3 linked regions of the Macaca fascicularis genome follow. The protein of the gene in region 1 purifies or fractionates together with the protein of each later gene. This does not show direct contact. Links are inferred from orthologs where the notes say so. Each region holds a gene or a part of one and is shown in the gene's direction. Other genes may lie near its edges.

The links. The genes of interacting proteins can lie anywhere in the genome.
Region 2: the proteins of ACIN1 (region 1) and SAP18 fractionate together in Homo sapiens (co-fractionation; 7 studies listed by BioGRID and IntAct, with this or other methods). This does not show direct contact. The link is inferred for Macaca fascicularis from reciprocal best matches to the Homo sapiens genes ACIN1 and SAP18.
Region 3: the proteins of ACIN1 (region 1) and RNPS1 purify together in Homo sapiens (affinity purification with mass spectrometry; 6 studies listed by BioGRID and IntAct, with this or other methods). This does not show direct contact. The link is inferred for Macaca fascicularis from reciprocal best matches to the Homo sapiens genes ACIN1 and RNPS1.

Annotation. Positions count from the first base shown.
Region 1 is NC_088381.1:90,850,437-90,854,717, reverse strand, and holds the start of ACIN1 (apoptotic chromatin condensation inducer in the nucleus), read left to right. Parts: upstream 1-1,481; 5' UTR 1,482-1,649; coding exon 1,650-1,961; intron 1,962-3,373; coding exon 3,374-3,439; intron 3,440-4,281.
Region 2 is NC_088391.1:793,861-798,124, reverse strand, and holds the start of SAP18 (histone deacetylase complex subunit SAP18), read left to right. Parts: upstream 1-1,464; 5' UTR 1,465-1,476; coding exon 1,477-1,605; intron 1,606-1,810; coding exon 1,811-1,920; intron 1,921-4,264. UniProt on the Homo sapiens protein: Component of the SIN3-repressing complex. Enhances the ability of SIN3-HDAC1-mediated transcriptional repression. When tethered to the promoter, it can direct the formation of a repressive complex to core histone proteins.
Region 3 is NC_088394.1:3,040,702-3,044,912, reverse strand, and holds the start of RNPS1 (RNA-binding protein with serine-rich domain 1), read left to right. Parts: upstream 1-1,411; 5' UTR 1,412-1,469; coding exon of another isoform or gene 1,470-1,471; 5' UTR 1,472-2,663; exon of another isoform or gene 2,664-3,401; intron 3,402-4,211. UniProt on the Homo sapiens protein: Part of pre- and post-splicing multiprotein mRNP complexes. Auxiliary component of the splicing-dependent multiprotein exon junction complex (EJC) deposited at splice junction on mRNAs.

The DNA of each region.
Region 1 (4,281 bases):
ATCCATGTTTTTAAACAATTGCCCTTAATATTTAGTATGGGCCAGACACAGTGGCTCTTGCACTTCCAAAGTAATCTCAGCACTTTGGGAGGCCGAGGCAAGAGGATAGCTTGAATCCAGTTGTTCAAGACCAGCCTGGGCAACATGGCAAAACCTCATCTCTACAAAAAATTTAAAAACTCGTTGGGCGTAGAGGTGCCTAACTGTAGTCCTAGCTACTTAGGAGGCTGAGGTAGGAGGATCACCTGAGCCCGGGAGGTTGAGGCTGTAGTGAGCCCTGATCACACCACTGCACTCTAGCCTGGTTCAGAGTGGAATGACCCAGAGTGGAGTGACAAAAAAAAATTTTTTTTTTTTAGTATGGCATCTATTGGTGCCTTGCTATTTATTTATTTATTTATTTATTTATTTATTTATTTATTTTTGAGACGGAGTCTTGCTCTGTCGCCCAGGCTGGAGTGCAATGGCGTGATCTCAGCTCACTTCAACCTCCGCTTCCCGGGTTCAAGCAATTCTCCTGCCTCAGCCTCCCGAGCAGCTGGGAATATAGGCGTACGCCCGGCTAATTTGTTTGTATTTTTACTAGAGACGGGGTTTCACCATATTGGCCAGATTGGTCTCCAATTCCTGACCTCAAGTGATCCGCCTGCCTCGGCCTCCCAAAGTGCTTATAGGCATGAGCCACCGCGCCCGGCGCCTTGACATTAATTTTGCATCATGAATGCAACGGAAAGATCAGCCTATTTGACTTCAATAGTTTTCAGTCTCTTAAATCTCTAACATATCTCTTAAATCTCTAAACCATTTGTCTGTGACCTATTTTACTGTTTGTGTTTCTTCTGCATCAAGTTGGAGGATTGCTAGTGACAAAGAAAGAAGCCCCTAAACAATATGAGTTCAAGTACCAAAAAAGTTCAGGGCGCTTGCATTTTTCAGTTCTTGCCCTACAGGAAGCAGTTCCTCCAAGGGAACTTACTCTCTTCTTCGGAGAAATGGAGAATTTTCTTGCCACACGGCTTCCCAGGCAAACGCAAACTCAAACTCAAGTTGAGCGTCATAAATCAGTTCATAGTCTGGGTCTGAAGACACGGCGCTGCCTGCCTCTTCCCCACTTTGGAGGCCACGGAGCTTGTTATTCCGATTCCGCCCCCCTCCACAGGCCCCACCAAAAAAAAAGCCTAAGATGGGAGTGGCTGGGATTCAGAGGACAGAGGGCAGAAGCTGTTTGCGTTAAGAAGTAGGTGGCTTGCCCTATTAGGATAGTCCGCAAACACCGAGTCTGACCCGGCCCATAGAGGTACTTCCACCCCGCTTACCTCCCCTTTTCTCTCGGAGAGCACCCGAAGATTGTCAGGAGTCCTTAGACTCCAACTACCGCTGCAGCTTCCAAATTTCCTGAAAACCCTAAGCTGGGCCAGCCCGGCAGCCCACGCACTTCCGGCCTCGGACCCGCCCCAAACACCCAAGAGCCCCAGCGCCTCATCTCTAGGTCCGGAGATAAACGAACATCTCCGATTATGGTTATACCAGAGTCGAGGGCTTCCGAATATATTCGATTCAAAGCTTCGGCAAGACGAAGAAAACCGAGCCTGAAAGCAGGGCGAGAATAGGGGAGCTGCAGGGCGGATGGAAAGAATTGATTGGTGCCGATGTGGAGACGGAAATATCCGAGGACATCCGGAGGAAGCCGGGGAGTTCTGAGTGGTAATCGAGGGGTAGAGTATGGCAGTGGGCGGGGTCATCTCGGTACGTTCGAAGGGCGTTGGCGGAAATTACCGAAGATGCCCGAAGCCGTCGGGACGGACCCGAGTACCTCACGCAAGATGGCGGAGCTGGAGGAGGTGACTCTGGACGGGAAGCCTCTTCAGGCGCTGCGGGTGACCGACCTGAAGGCCGCACTGGAGCAGCGAGGCCTAGCCAAGAGCGGGCAGAAGAGTGCCCTGGTCAAGCGGCTCAAAGGGGTGAGGAGTCGGCGTTGCTGGGGTGTCGGAGGAGAGCGGACCCGGTAGAGACGAGCCTCTGCCGCGGCGCAGGCGCAGTATCCGGGCTCGGCGCGAGCTCGCTCAGGCCGCCAGCGCGAGCCTCTGGATCCGCGCGCACGGTGGTTGGTGAGGTTCGCGCTGGAATGGCGATCGCGCCGGTTCCCGCCTTAACGGCAGCAGCGCGAGCCCAAATGGGAGGGTGTGCACTACTCTCCAGGAGTGTCTTAAGCTCCTTCCTCCTTCCCCCACCCCCTCCTTGTTTGTATCTGTGGTTTCGGCGCATGCGCTGCAGAAGGAGTTAAATCCCACTACAACCTACGGCGTCGCTGGCCTGAGGGGGGCGAGTTGGGCTGGGTCGGAGTTAGGGGTATAGTTGCGCGGAGGGGTGGATGGGGTTGGTATCGGTATCTGCAGGAATAGGATTGGGGTAGGGTAAAATGTCTGCTCGATTAGATGAGGTGAGATGAAGAGAGACCTTTATGTGAAGGGACTTGATGAGAGAGGTGTCTAATTTATAGGGCATCTAGTGGCAATTTGGGTAGTTAAGAGTTTGGTGAATATTGGTGAGAGAGGCGAGGCAGGTTGATACATATTGGGGATTTTGAATCAGTTTAAGTAGATTAAGGTGGGAATGTCATGAGGTAGGTGTAGATCGATTCGAGTGTATAGGTTTGGTTTAAAGAAGGGAAGATGAGGATGTCTTGGTTTTAATTAGAGTTCAATAGGATACGTGGCAGGTAGTGCAGATTAGGTCTGGGTTGGCTCCAGGGTTGAGTTGGCAGACCGTTGCTTATACAGAAGCTGATTGTGTGTGTGTGTGTGTGTGGATGGACGGACTAGGTTAGACCACAGTTCACAGGGTCTCTGGTCATTTTCTTCTGTAGCCTCCTCTTTGAAAATTTTGTAAATTTGGTAAATCTAGGTGCCACAGTACTGGAAATTATACAAATTGACTCTAGTCCTGGGTAACCCTTTGACCAAGTAATTCCATCAGGCAAAAACCAGGAGCCCCATGGCTGCTGGTTTGAGTATTTTTAAGTAGTTTTACCTGCATGATCAGATTTAGAAGGGGCACTTGGCACAAGTGCAGAAGACAACAGGGATTTTAGTACTGGTTCTATTACTGATATTGTGACATAGCCAGGTCACTGATTCTGTGTGCCTGCATTTTATATCTGTACGTTTAGTAACAGTAACCGTGGCTACCTTTAAGGGTCTTCTGGTGATGAATGAGAACAGTGTCAGTAAAGGATTTTCAGGTCCCTGGAAGGGGAATACAGTTTAATTGTGTGTATTTAAGTCATTGCATTTAATTAAGAGGTTGTGGTAGAGGTGGGAGTTTTTCTTTTTTTTTCCTCATCATTTCTGACTTTTACCCTTCTCTATACCAGGCTCTAATGCTAGAAAATTTACAGAAACACTCAACACCCCATGCTGCATTCCAGCCAAATTCCCAGGTGAGAAAGGTTTATTCAATGGAGTGGGCTCTTTGGATATACAGACACATGGCAGGACGTGGTGTTGTATATTTCATGCTTAATTCCTCACGACTATTTTCCTAAGTTCCCTTGGTCAGAAATGTTCTCAAACCAGGACAGTTGAATTCGAATCACCCAGTTGTATACAAGGGCCTGGAGTAAAGAACAGAATCAAAGGCGCTATTAGTTTATAATAATTGAAATGGTATGTGCAGAAAGGTGTGGCTTCCATTAATTACGTGTAGTACAGAGATCTGAAGTCATTTATCTGCCATGAATTTAGGAAAGGTAGTTGATGTCTTTGAGTATAGATATGAAGTAGACCACCAATGTGACAGTGTAGGAAAATAGTTGCTAATTAAGAACTCTTGTTGATGTAGATTTACCAAGGATTCAATCCTGTGTAAGTCACCCACCATTACTAGTGTTAACTACTAACTCAATGCACTTATTCATAAGCATTACTAATAGTTCCTTTACTTAGGATAAGAAACTTAACCTTTGGAGGCCTTGGTTTCCTCCATTTCCTTATCTGTAATATGAGAAAAAGTCAAACTAAACCCATGGGTTTATAACTGCTCTCGGGGTTTTGTGGAGCTGCTTTGGGGAGCTTCTTAGGGGAAATAAATACCTTTTTCTCAAGTAAGCAAGGCTCATACTTCTCTCTTAAACTAGATTAGATCTACTTTTATCCGCTTTGACTATTGAGTTTCTGCATAAGATGTCTTTTAAATTATTCCACAGTTAAAATCCAAAAATTATAAGGCTGCACAGTCTCTTAAAGTTTCTTTCAGTTTTTGAAAATCCCCTCTTTATAATGT
Region 2 (4,264 bases), on another chromosome or scaffold:
ACAGGCGCTCGTCACCACTCTTGGCTTATTTATTTATTTATTTATTTATTTATTTATTGAGACGGAGTCTCGCTCTGTAGCCCATCTGGGCCCACTGCAACCTCCGCCTCCCGCCTCCCAGGTTCACACCATTCTCCTGCCTCAGCCTCTGGAGTAGGTGGGACTACAGGCCCCCGCCACCATGCCTGGCTAATTTTTTTTTTTTTTTTGTATTTTTAGTAGAGACAGGGTTTCACCGTGTTAGCCAGTATGGTCTGGATCTCCTGACCTCGTGATCTGCCCGCCTCGGCTTCCCAAAGTGCTGGGATTACAGCCATGAGCCACCGCGCCCGGCCGTTTTTATTTTTATTTTTATTTGTATTTTTAGTGGAGCCGGAGCCTCATCGTGTTGGCCAGGCTTGTTTCAAACTCCTGACCTCAAGTCGGGAGTCAGGAGGTCAGGTGATCCGCCTGCCTCATCCTTCCAAAACGCTGGGATTACAGGCGTGAGCCACCACCACGCCTGGCCAGAGTTCCTAATTTTTGCCAATCTAGTGGGTGTGGCTTAAAAACCAGTCAATTGAAACTAATCATGGTTTTAATGCATTTCCCTGATTTGTAATGCGCTTGCTCACCTTACATGTTTGTTGCCTCTCTGGATTTTGTCATTTCCAAAGCACCTGTTCAGTAATTTTATCCATTTTTCGATTGGGTTGTCTGTTTACATCCTATATATTCTGGATAATTGCCTTTGTCAATCATATGTGTAACAAATTTCTCCCACTCTGTGGCTTTTTTCTCTCTTATGATGTATTTTTTTTTCCCACTTTTCAGTCGTAAGATGATATCACTTTTAAGTTCAGTCATATACTTGGCATTTTGGGTTCATCATGGAGTTTGTTCATCACGGAGTTTTGAAGGTCAGATTATTTTTGTCCTAACCCAGTCAAATCAATTGCTTCTCGTTAGTTTTTTCTATCATATATTCCCATCCATAGGTCCTGAAGATATTCTAGAACGTTATTTCCTACAAGTTCCGGGTTTCCTGCTCGCATTCCGGTCTCTAAGCCGCCGTGTATGTGGCTGGAAGGATCGCTCCATGACCACGTACGCTGGCGACGCCTCTTCCGGCTTACCTCAGGGGCGGGTATGGCGGACCTGTTCTTTTATCAGAAAGATCTATATTTTGCTAATAAAGGAACGTTTTGTGTCCAATAAGGTTTTCGTCATTACGAGTGAAAACGCCACCTTAAGCTTATTTCGCCTGTGAATATTTAAGGGAAAAAAAAAACACCCCGGCAACCAACTGCCAGGCGACGGAGGCTAAACCGCTCCTCCCCACTGAGGCCAGCACCCACCTTTTCCCGAAGTCGCAACACGCAGGCGCGCCCGGCTCGCACGCCACGAACGGAAGTGCGCCTGCGCCAGGATACGCCCCGCCCAGCCACTGCCCGACTATAAAGTGTCGAGCTTCTCCTCGCGAGAGACTTCGTGCTCATGCTCGCTGCAGGGGTCGGAGGTCAGGGCGAGCGTCTAGCGGGCCGTAGGAGGAAGATGGCGGTGGAGTCGCGCGTTACCCAGGAGGAAATTAAGAAGGAGCCAGAGAAGCCAATCGACCGCGAGAAGGTGAAGGTCCCCTCCGCTTTGGGGTCCGGGAAGAGATTGGGGGTGGGCCCGGCAGGGTGCAGAGGCGCGGCCTGTGTGCGGGAGGAGACGGTGTTTTTGGTATCCGGACGGCTCGGAGGCCGCAACGCCTCGGGAAGAGAGGTGAGGTCCGGGCTCGCAGCTGGTGTCTTTAACTTCTGCCGTTCCGTTTTTCTCTCGCCCTCAGACATGCCCACTGTTGCTGCGGGTCTTCACCACCAATAACGGCCGCCACCACCGAATGGACGAGTTCTCCCGGGGAAATGTACCGTCCAGCGAGTTGCAGATCTACACTTGGTGAGGAGGGCGGGGGCGGGCTCGGACCCGGGCCGGGAACCTGGAACAACAGTTAATTGCCTTTGCCAGTGTAGAGAGTTATTCTCCTTGATTTAAATTTCATTCCTCCACTTGGGGTCTTCAGGCTCAACTTTCGGGAAGTTAGAAGTTTTTGTTGTTAGGTGAAAGGAGATTTGCCTTTATTGTAACGCTTTTGTGATTAATGTTGCAACTTTTGGGCGGTTAAGAATGCACAGACCCAAGATTTAGCACTGTTATGGCTGCTAGGTACAAAAGTGATAGGTAGATGATTAAGTTGTAGTATCCGCCCTAAAGGGACTCATGGTCAAATAAATTGCACTAGGACAGCATGGTAAGGGAGAGTGATGCTGTCGAGTGGTGTTTGTTATTCTCAAAGAGCATTTCCACGTAATATTAAGCCTTAGGTACCAAAGCACCAAAAGTGAAAAATAAACTACCAAAACCCGAGTTATTATCTAAGGGTTGATGGAAGAGCTTTTGGTGTGTGTTTAGTGAAGATGGTTCCTGAGTGTTCATCTCTTGGGTGTATCTCCCTACAAACTACTGCCGGCTTGTCTTTAGCGCTGCACATAACTCCTTGGATTGACACCATAATGGGTTTTTAATATAAGTAAAAGGTGTGTAACTGAAAAATATATGTATATGCTATATATATATGTGTGTGTGTGTATATATATATATATTTTCAGACGGAGTCTTGCTCTCGCCCAGGCTGGAGTGCAGTGGCGCCATCTCCGCTCACTGCAGGCTCCGCCTCCCGTGTTCACGCCATTCTCCTGCCTCAGCCTCCCCAGTAGGTGGGATTACAGGTGCCCACCACCACGCCTGGCTAATTTTTGTATTTTTAGTAGAGATGAGGTTTCACCATATTGACCAGGCTGGTCTCGAACTCCTGAACTCAGGTTGTCTGCCTGCCTCGGCCTCCCAAAGTGCTGGGATTACAGGTGTGTGAGCTACCGCGCCTGGCTTAAAATAAATTTTTTATTGCGATAAAAAGTTATATAACAAGCCATGCACGGTGGCTCATGCCTGCAATCCCAGCACTTTGGGAAACTGAGGCTGGCGGATCACTTTAGGTCAGGAGTTTGAGACCAGTCTGGTCGGCATAATGAAACCCTGTGTCTACTAAAAATGCAAAAATTAGCCTTGTGTGGTGGCATAGAATTGTAATCGCAGCTACTTGGGAGACTGAGGCAGGAGGATCACTTGAACTTGGGAAGTGGAGGTTGCAGTGAGCTGAGGTCGCGCCACTGTACTCCAGCCTGGGCGACAGAGCGAGATTCCGTCTCAAAATACATATGTGTGTGCATATGTAACAAAATTTGCCATGTTAACCATTTCTTATTTCTTGAGTCTCACTCTGTCGCCCAGGCTGGAGTGCAGTGGCGCCCATCTCGGCTCACTGCAACCTCTGCCTCCCGGGTTCAAGGGATTCTCATGCCTCAGCCTCCCCAGTAGTTGGGATTACAGGCGCCCACCGCCACACCTGGCTAATTTTTGTATTTCTAGTAGAGACAGGGTTTCACCATGTTGGCCAGGCTGGTCTGGAACTCCTGACTTCAAGCGATCCGCCCGCCTCGGCCTCCCAAAGTGGTGTAGGATTACAGGCGTGAGCCAGCGTGCATGGTCATTAACTGTTTTTAAGTGTATAATTTGTTGGCATTAATAGCATTCAAATTGTTGTGCAACCACTATTTCTACAAGTTTTTATCCCTCCCTCCAACAGAAAGCCTGTACGCCATCCTGCCTTGTTTTAATTTTTAAAGAGATGGAGTCTTGCACTGTTTTCCAAGCTGGATTTGAGCTCCTTGGCTCAACCAGCTGGGACTACAGGCACACACCACCATGCCCAGTGTGCTGGTAACCTTTTAAGGACACACCGTGCCTATTAAAAAATAATTTCCCATTCCTCCCCCGCCCCATCCCCTGGTAGCTTCTAATGTATTATCTGTCTATATATGAATTTGTCTATTCTGGATATTTCATTTCAGTGAACTCGTTACAGTGTTTGTCATTTTGTGACTGGCTTATTTCATGGTGTTTTCGGGGTTGATGTTGTAGCATCCATTCAGCCTTGTCAAGACTGAATAATATTTCATTGTATGTGTGCATCACATGTACTCATCTATTGATGGACACTTGGATTGTTTCATCTTTTTTGCCATTGTGAATAATGCTGCTGTGAACATTGGCATACAAATGTGTTTGTGTCCCTGCTTTCAGTTATTTTGGGTATGTACCTAGGAGTGGATTACTGGGTCATATGTTAATTTTGTTTAAGTTTTGAGGAACCATCAAACTTTTTCACAGCAGTTGCACTATT
Region 3 (4,211 bases), on another chromosome or scaffold:
GAGCACACAGTCAATCCCTCCACAAATAATCAAAGGGCAACGACTACCTAACAGGCACAGCAGTGAACAAAACCCGGCCGGGGGCGGTGGTTCACGCCTGTAAAGTAATCCCAGCACTTTGGGAGGCCAAGGCGAACCTAGGAGCGAGCACTTTTGGAGCGAGCCTGAAAGCCTAGGAGCGGATCACGAGGTCAGAAGTTCGCGACCAGTCTGGCCAACATAGTGAAACCCAGTCTCTAATAAAAATACAAAAAATTAGCCGAGTGTAGTAGTGTGTGCCTGTAATCCCAGCTACTCGGGAGGCGGAGGCAGGAGAACCGCTTGAACCCGGGAGGCGGAGGTTGCAGTGAGCCGAGATCGCACCGCTGCACTTCAGCCTGGGCAACAGTGCGAGACTCTGTCAAAAAAAAAAAATTCCGCCGCGTCAGTGTGGGGCGTTGACGCGGAGCCTCCTGCCTGGGCCCCTACAGCGTCACCCCCTCCTCTGTGCCTGCCAGAGGCGCCACCTCTGGACTCTCCCAGAGTCGGACCCTGGTCGACAGTGTTCCCTGCTCGGACCCTGCACCGGCCGTTAGATGAAGCCTCGGCGCTGCGCCGTTCACACGCTCCGTGCTGCCTCCACTGAGAATTTGGCGCGGGCCTGCGAGCCTGTGCCCCGGCCTCCCTTCCCTGCTTCCAGCGAACCTCGGCGTCTGCTGTTCCCCCGCCGGGCGCGCCCTTCCACTCTAGTCTCAGCGGCAGTGTCACCTGCCCGGAGACGCCCCCCGTTGCACCCCATCTCCCATCCTCAAGCTCGTTGCTCTTCCTGCCCGCACAGCCCGCCTGCAGCGCCCACCCTGGAGGTCCGCCTGCGCGGAGGCCGCGTCCACGAGAGCACCCCAAACGCCACCAGTGGGTTTTGACCGCAGGAACGCAAGTCCTGCCCCAGCCCGTCTCTCCGAGCTACTTCCGCCCTGCAGGCCCCCACGCCCCGCCACGCAAGGCCGCAAAGGCTGCGCACCCCTCCTGTGCGACCACCCTGCCGCCCTCAGCACAGCCGGGCCTGGAGCCCCGCCTCCACCGCCGGCGACAGGGGCCAGAATCGGCCCGGGCGGGTCCAGGGAGCCCGCGCAAGGAAAGGGGCGGGGCACGGCCGCGATAACACCCTCCGCTCCGGACGACGAGCATCGGTTATCGCGCGGCCCTCCCAGGCTCAGCAGGCTACCCATGTGCTCGCTCCAGCAAGCGTGCAGCCAGTCCGGTCAGTCCCAGGGACTTTACCGGCGAGGAGACACCCTGAACGTCCCCAACGCGGCTACCACAAACTGCCTTGACTGTCTAACACTTCCCCGCCGGCGCCCATTGGGCCAGGCGTTTACGTCATCGCTACGCGCCGGACGGCGGCGTCTTCCCGCTCCTTGACTCTGACGTCAGAGCGGCGCCGGCCTCGGAGGCTGAGGAAAGCAGGAGGAGGTGGTGGCGGCGGGAAGATGTAAGTTGGGGCGGAATCCGACCGCATCCGTGTTTCGGGGGCTGCCCGTCAGGCCCGGCAGGACGCATCGTGAAGCCGGTCCACTTCTCAGCCCCGCAGTGCGGCGGTGGCCTGGCAGCGCGGTGCGGGCTCCGAGAAGAAAGAGTGTGGCCCGGGGCGGGCGGAGTGGGAGGTGTCGAGGCCGTGGCCCGGAAGTGATCGGGGCCGCCGCGGACGGAAGGGCGCCTCTGCTTCGTCCGCTCGGCGGTGGCCCAGCCAGGCCCGCGGGACTCGGAGCAGCGGTGAGCGCGGCCTCCGTTCTTGGGGCCCTCCCGCCGGGCCGGAGACCCAAGCCCCCAACGCCAGGCGCTGCCCTGGAAGCGCTTGCGGCCCGGCGCCTGGACGGGGAAGTTGTGAGTGAACGCGGACGGGGAGCGGCGAGGTCGGCGTGTCGGGCCGGTGCCGGCGGGCGCGGAGTTTCTTTGTGGGATGCGGTGGAAGGTCGGCCGATCCATCCTTCGGAGTCATTAATTCAAACGTGTACTCCGCGAACGTTTCCCGGACTCCCGTGTGCAATTGTCGGCGCTAGGCCGTGGGGATACGGCCCACTATGGACCGAACACGGTGTCCGAGCTCAGTTTGATGGGTTATCCCAGAGGGGTGGATACGGGAAGGTTAAGGTTGATGGAGGAGAAACGTGGAGTAGGCTTTTTGTCTTGATTTCTCATGAACTGTGCCTGAAATGTACTCTTAAATGGGGAAGGTGCTCTGAAGATTTATGCCGAAACGCCCTCTCCTCGAGATTTAACTAATTGTTCTCTCCTCTCTCTGGCTGTTGGACGCGCACCTTTCCGGAGGATGGGGGAGGTAACCGAGGTCCTGAGCCGGTACCTGAACTTGGGTGAACAGAGAACCTCAACTTTTGCTTTCTAGCACTCGACCGCACCCAGCGAGCCGTCCGCTTACTCAGTGGTTCTTAGTGTTTGGACTGCTTGAGAATAACTGGTGGTGTTTGATTCCACAAAGTACATTTGGGCAGATCTTTAAGTCTGGGGGGGTGGGGCTGAAATCTGCGGGTGTGACCTCCACTCTAGGTCTGTGCTGTCCAGTGAAGTAGCCATTGGCCACATGTGGCTACTAAGCATGTGAAATACAGCTCATCAAAACTGAAATGTTAAAACACATACCAGTTTTAGAAGACTATGAAAAAAAAGTAAACTTTTATTAGTAGATTTTTATGTTGATTATATGTTGGAAAGATAATATTTTGGATGTGTCAAGTGTTAAAAATTTCACCCATTTTTGTGATGTGGCTACTAAGGAATTTCAGGTGATGCTTGTGGCTCCTCACACTGTTTCTATTGGACATTTCTGCTGCAGGTGATCCTAAGGCAGATGAGTGCAGGAACCCTGCTGAGAGTTCAGAAATTACGTGTGACTTTGGAGACAAATGTCTGGGGGAGGGAGGAGCCTTTACAAATCTTGCTCCTAACATTATTGAGCTTTTCATTAATGCCCTGGGTAACTATAAAGTTGGAATTGTAATTGTCACCATATTGATAAGAAACTTGAGAAAGGTTAAGTGACTTGTCGAAAATTACACCGTAAAACCTCAAATCAAACCCAGGCCCTCTGGTTGCAGACTCTGAATTATACTCTGAATGATACTCACTGACTGTCCGAGGACACCAACAGTGTCGAGGCACTATCTGCTGGGTGTCTGCAGAACCTTACTATTCTAAAGCAAAACATGATACCCCCGGACAAGAGCAGCAGAGGTGGTGTTCGGCCCTCCTTGGCTCATTTGACTGTTTAAAGCCAGGTGCTTTTCTTTCTTGGGTCAGAACACGTTTTCAGCAGCATTTTGAAGCACCCCTGGCAGGTACTGCACAGGGAAACCAGGACCCCATTGGTGTGCTGTGTCCTCCTTACCAACTGGCTCTTGGAGAAGGTGAGACAGAAGTAGCTGAGACTCACATCCTGAGAGCTGCACTTAACAACTCCTGCAGCTTGTGCAGAACTTTACTGGAAATACTGAAGGCGTCCCTGGAAAATAGGGCCCATAACTAATTAGTTTGCTTTTGAGTAATGAGTAACCGCTATTTGAACACATTCTGCAGTCCAGGCATTTTGCTAAACTCTTACATGGCAGGCAGTCTCTCATGCAATTTCAGTGCCTACTTTTTTTTCATCTTATTTTTGAAAAATTTTTAAAGCACAGGAACGTCAAATTATACAATTAATACCCACATAAAGACTACTTAAGGGCCAGGTCTGGTGGCTCACGCCTGTAATCCCAGCACTTTGGGAGGCCAAGGTTGGCAGATGACAAGGTCAGGAGTTGGAGACCAGCCTGGTCAATATGGTGAAACCCTGTCTCTACTAAAAATACAAAAATTAGCCAGGCTTGATGGCAAGCACCTGTAGTCCCAGCTACTCAGGAGGCTGACGCAGAAGAAACGCTTGAACCCAGGAGGTGGAGGTTGCAGTGAGCCAAGATCGTGCCACTGCACTCCAGCCTGGGTGACAGAGCAAGTCTCCATCTCAAAAAAAAACAAAACAAAACTCAGAGGTTAAGAGTCTGTAAGTTATATTTCTGCTGTATTTGCTAGATGGTTTTTATCAATCTTAGTTTTTCTTTCAATCTTAGTTTTTCTCAATCTTAGTTTTTCTTTCAAAGTAAATTGCAGACTTGCATGTATTTTCCCCTACACTCAATATGCATATTATTAAAGTACAGTGCAATTACTGCTTTTTAAAA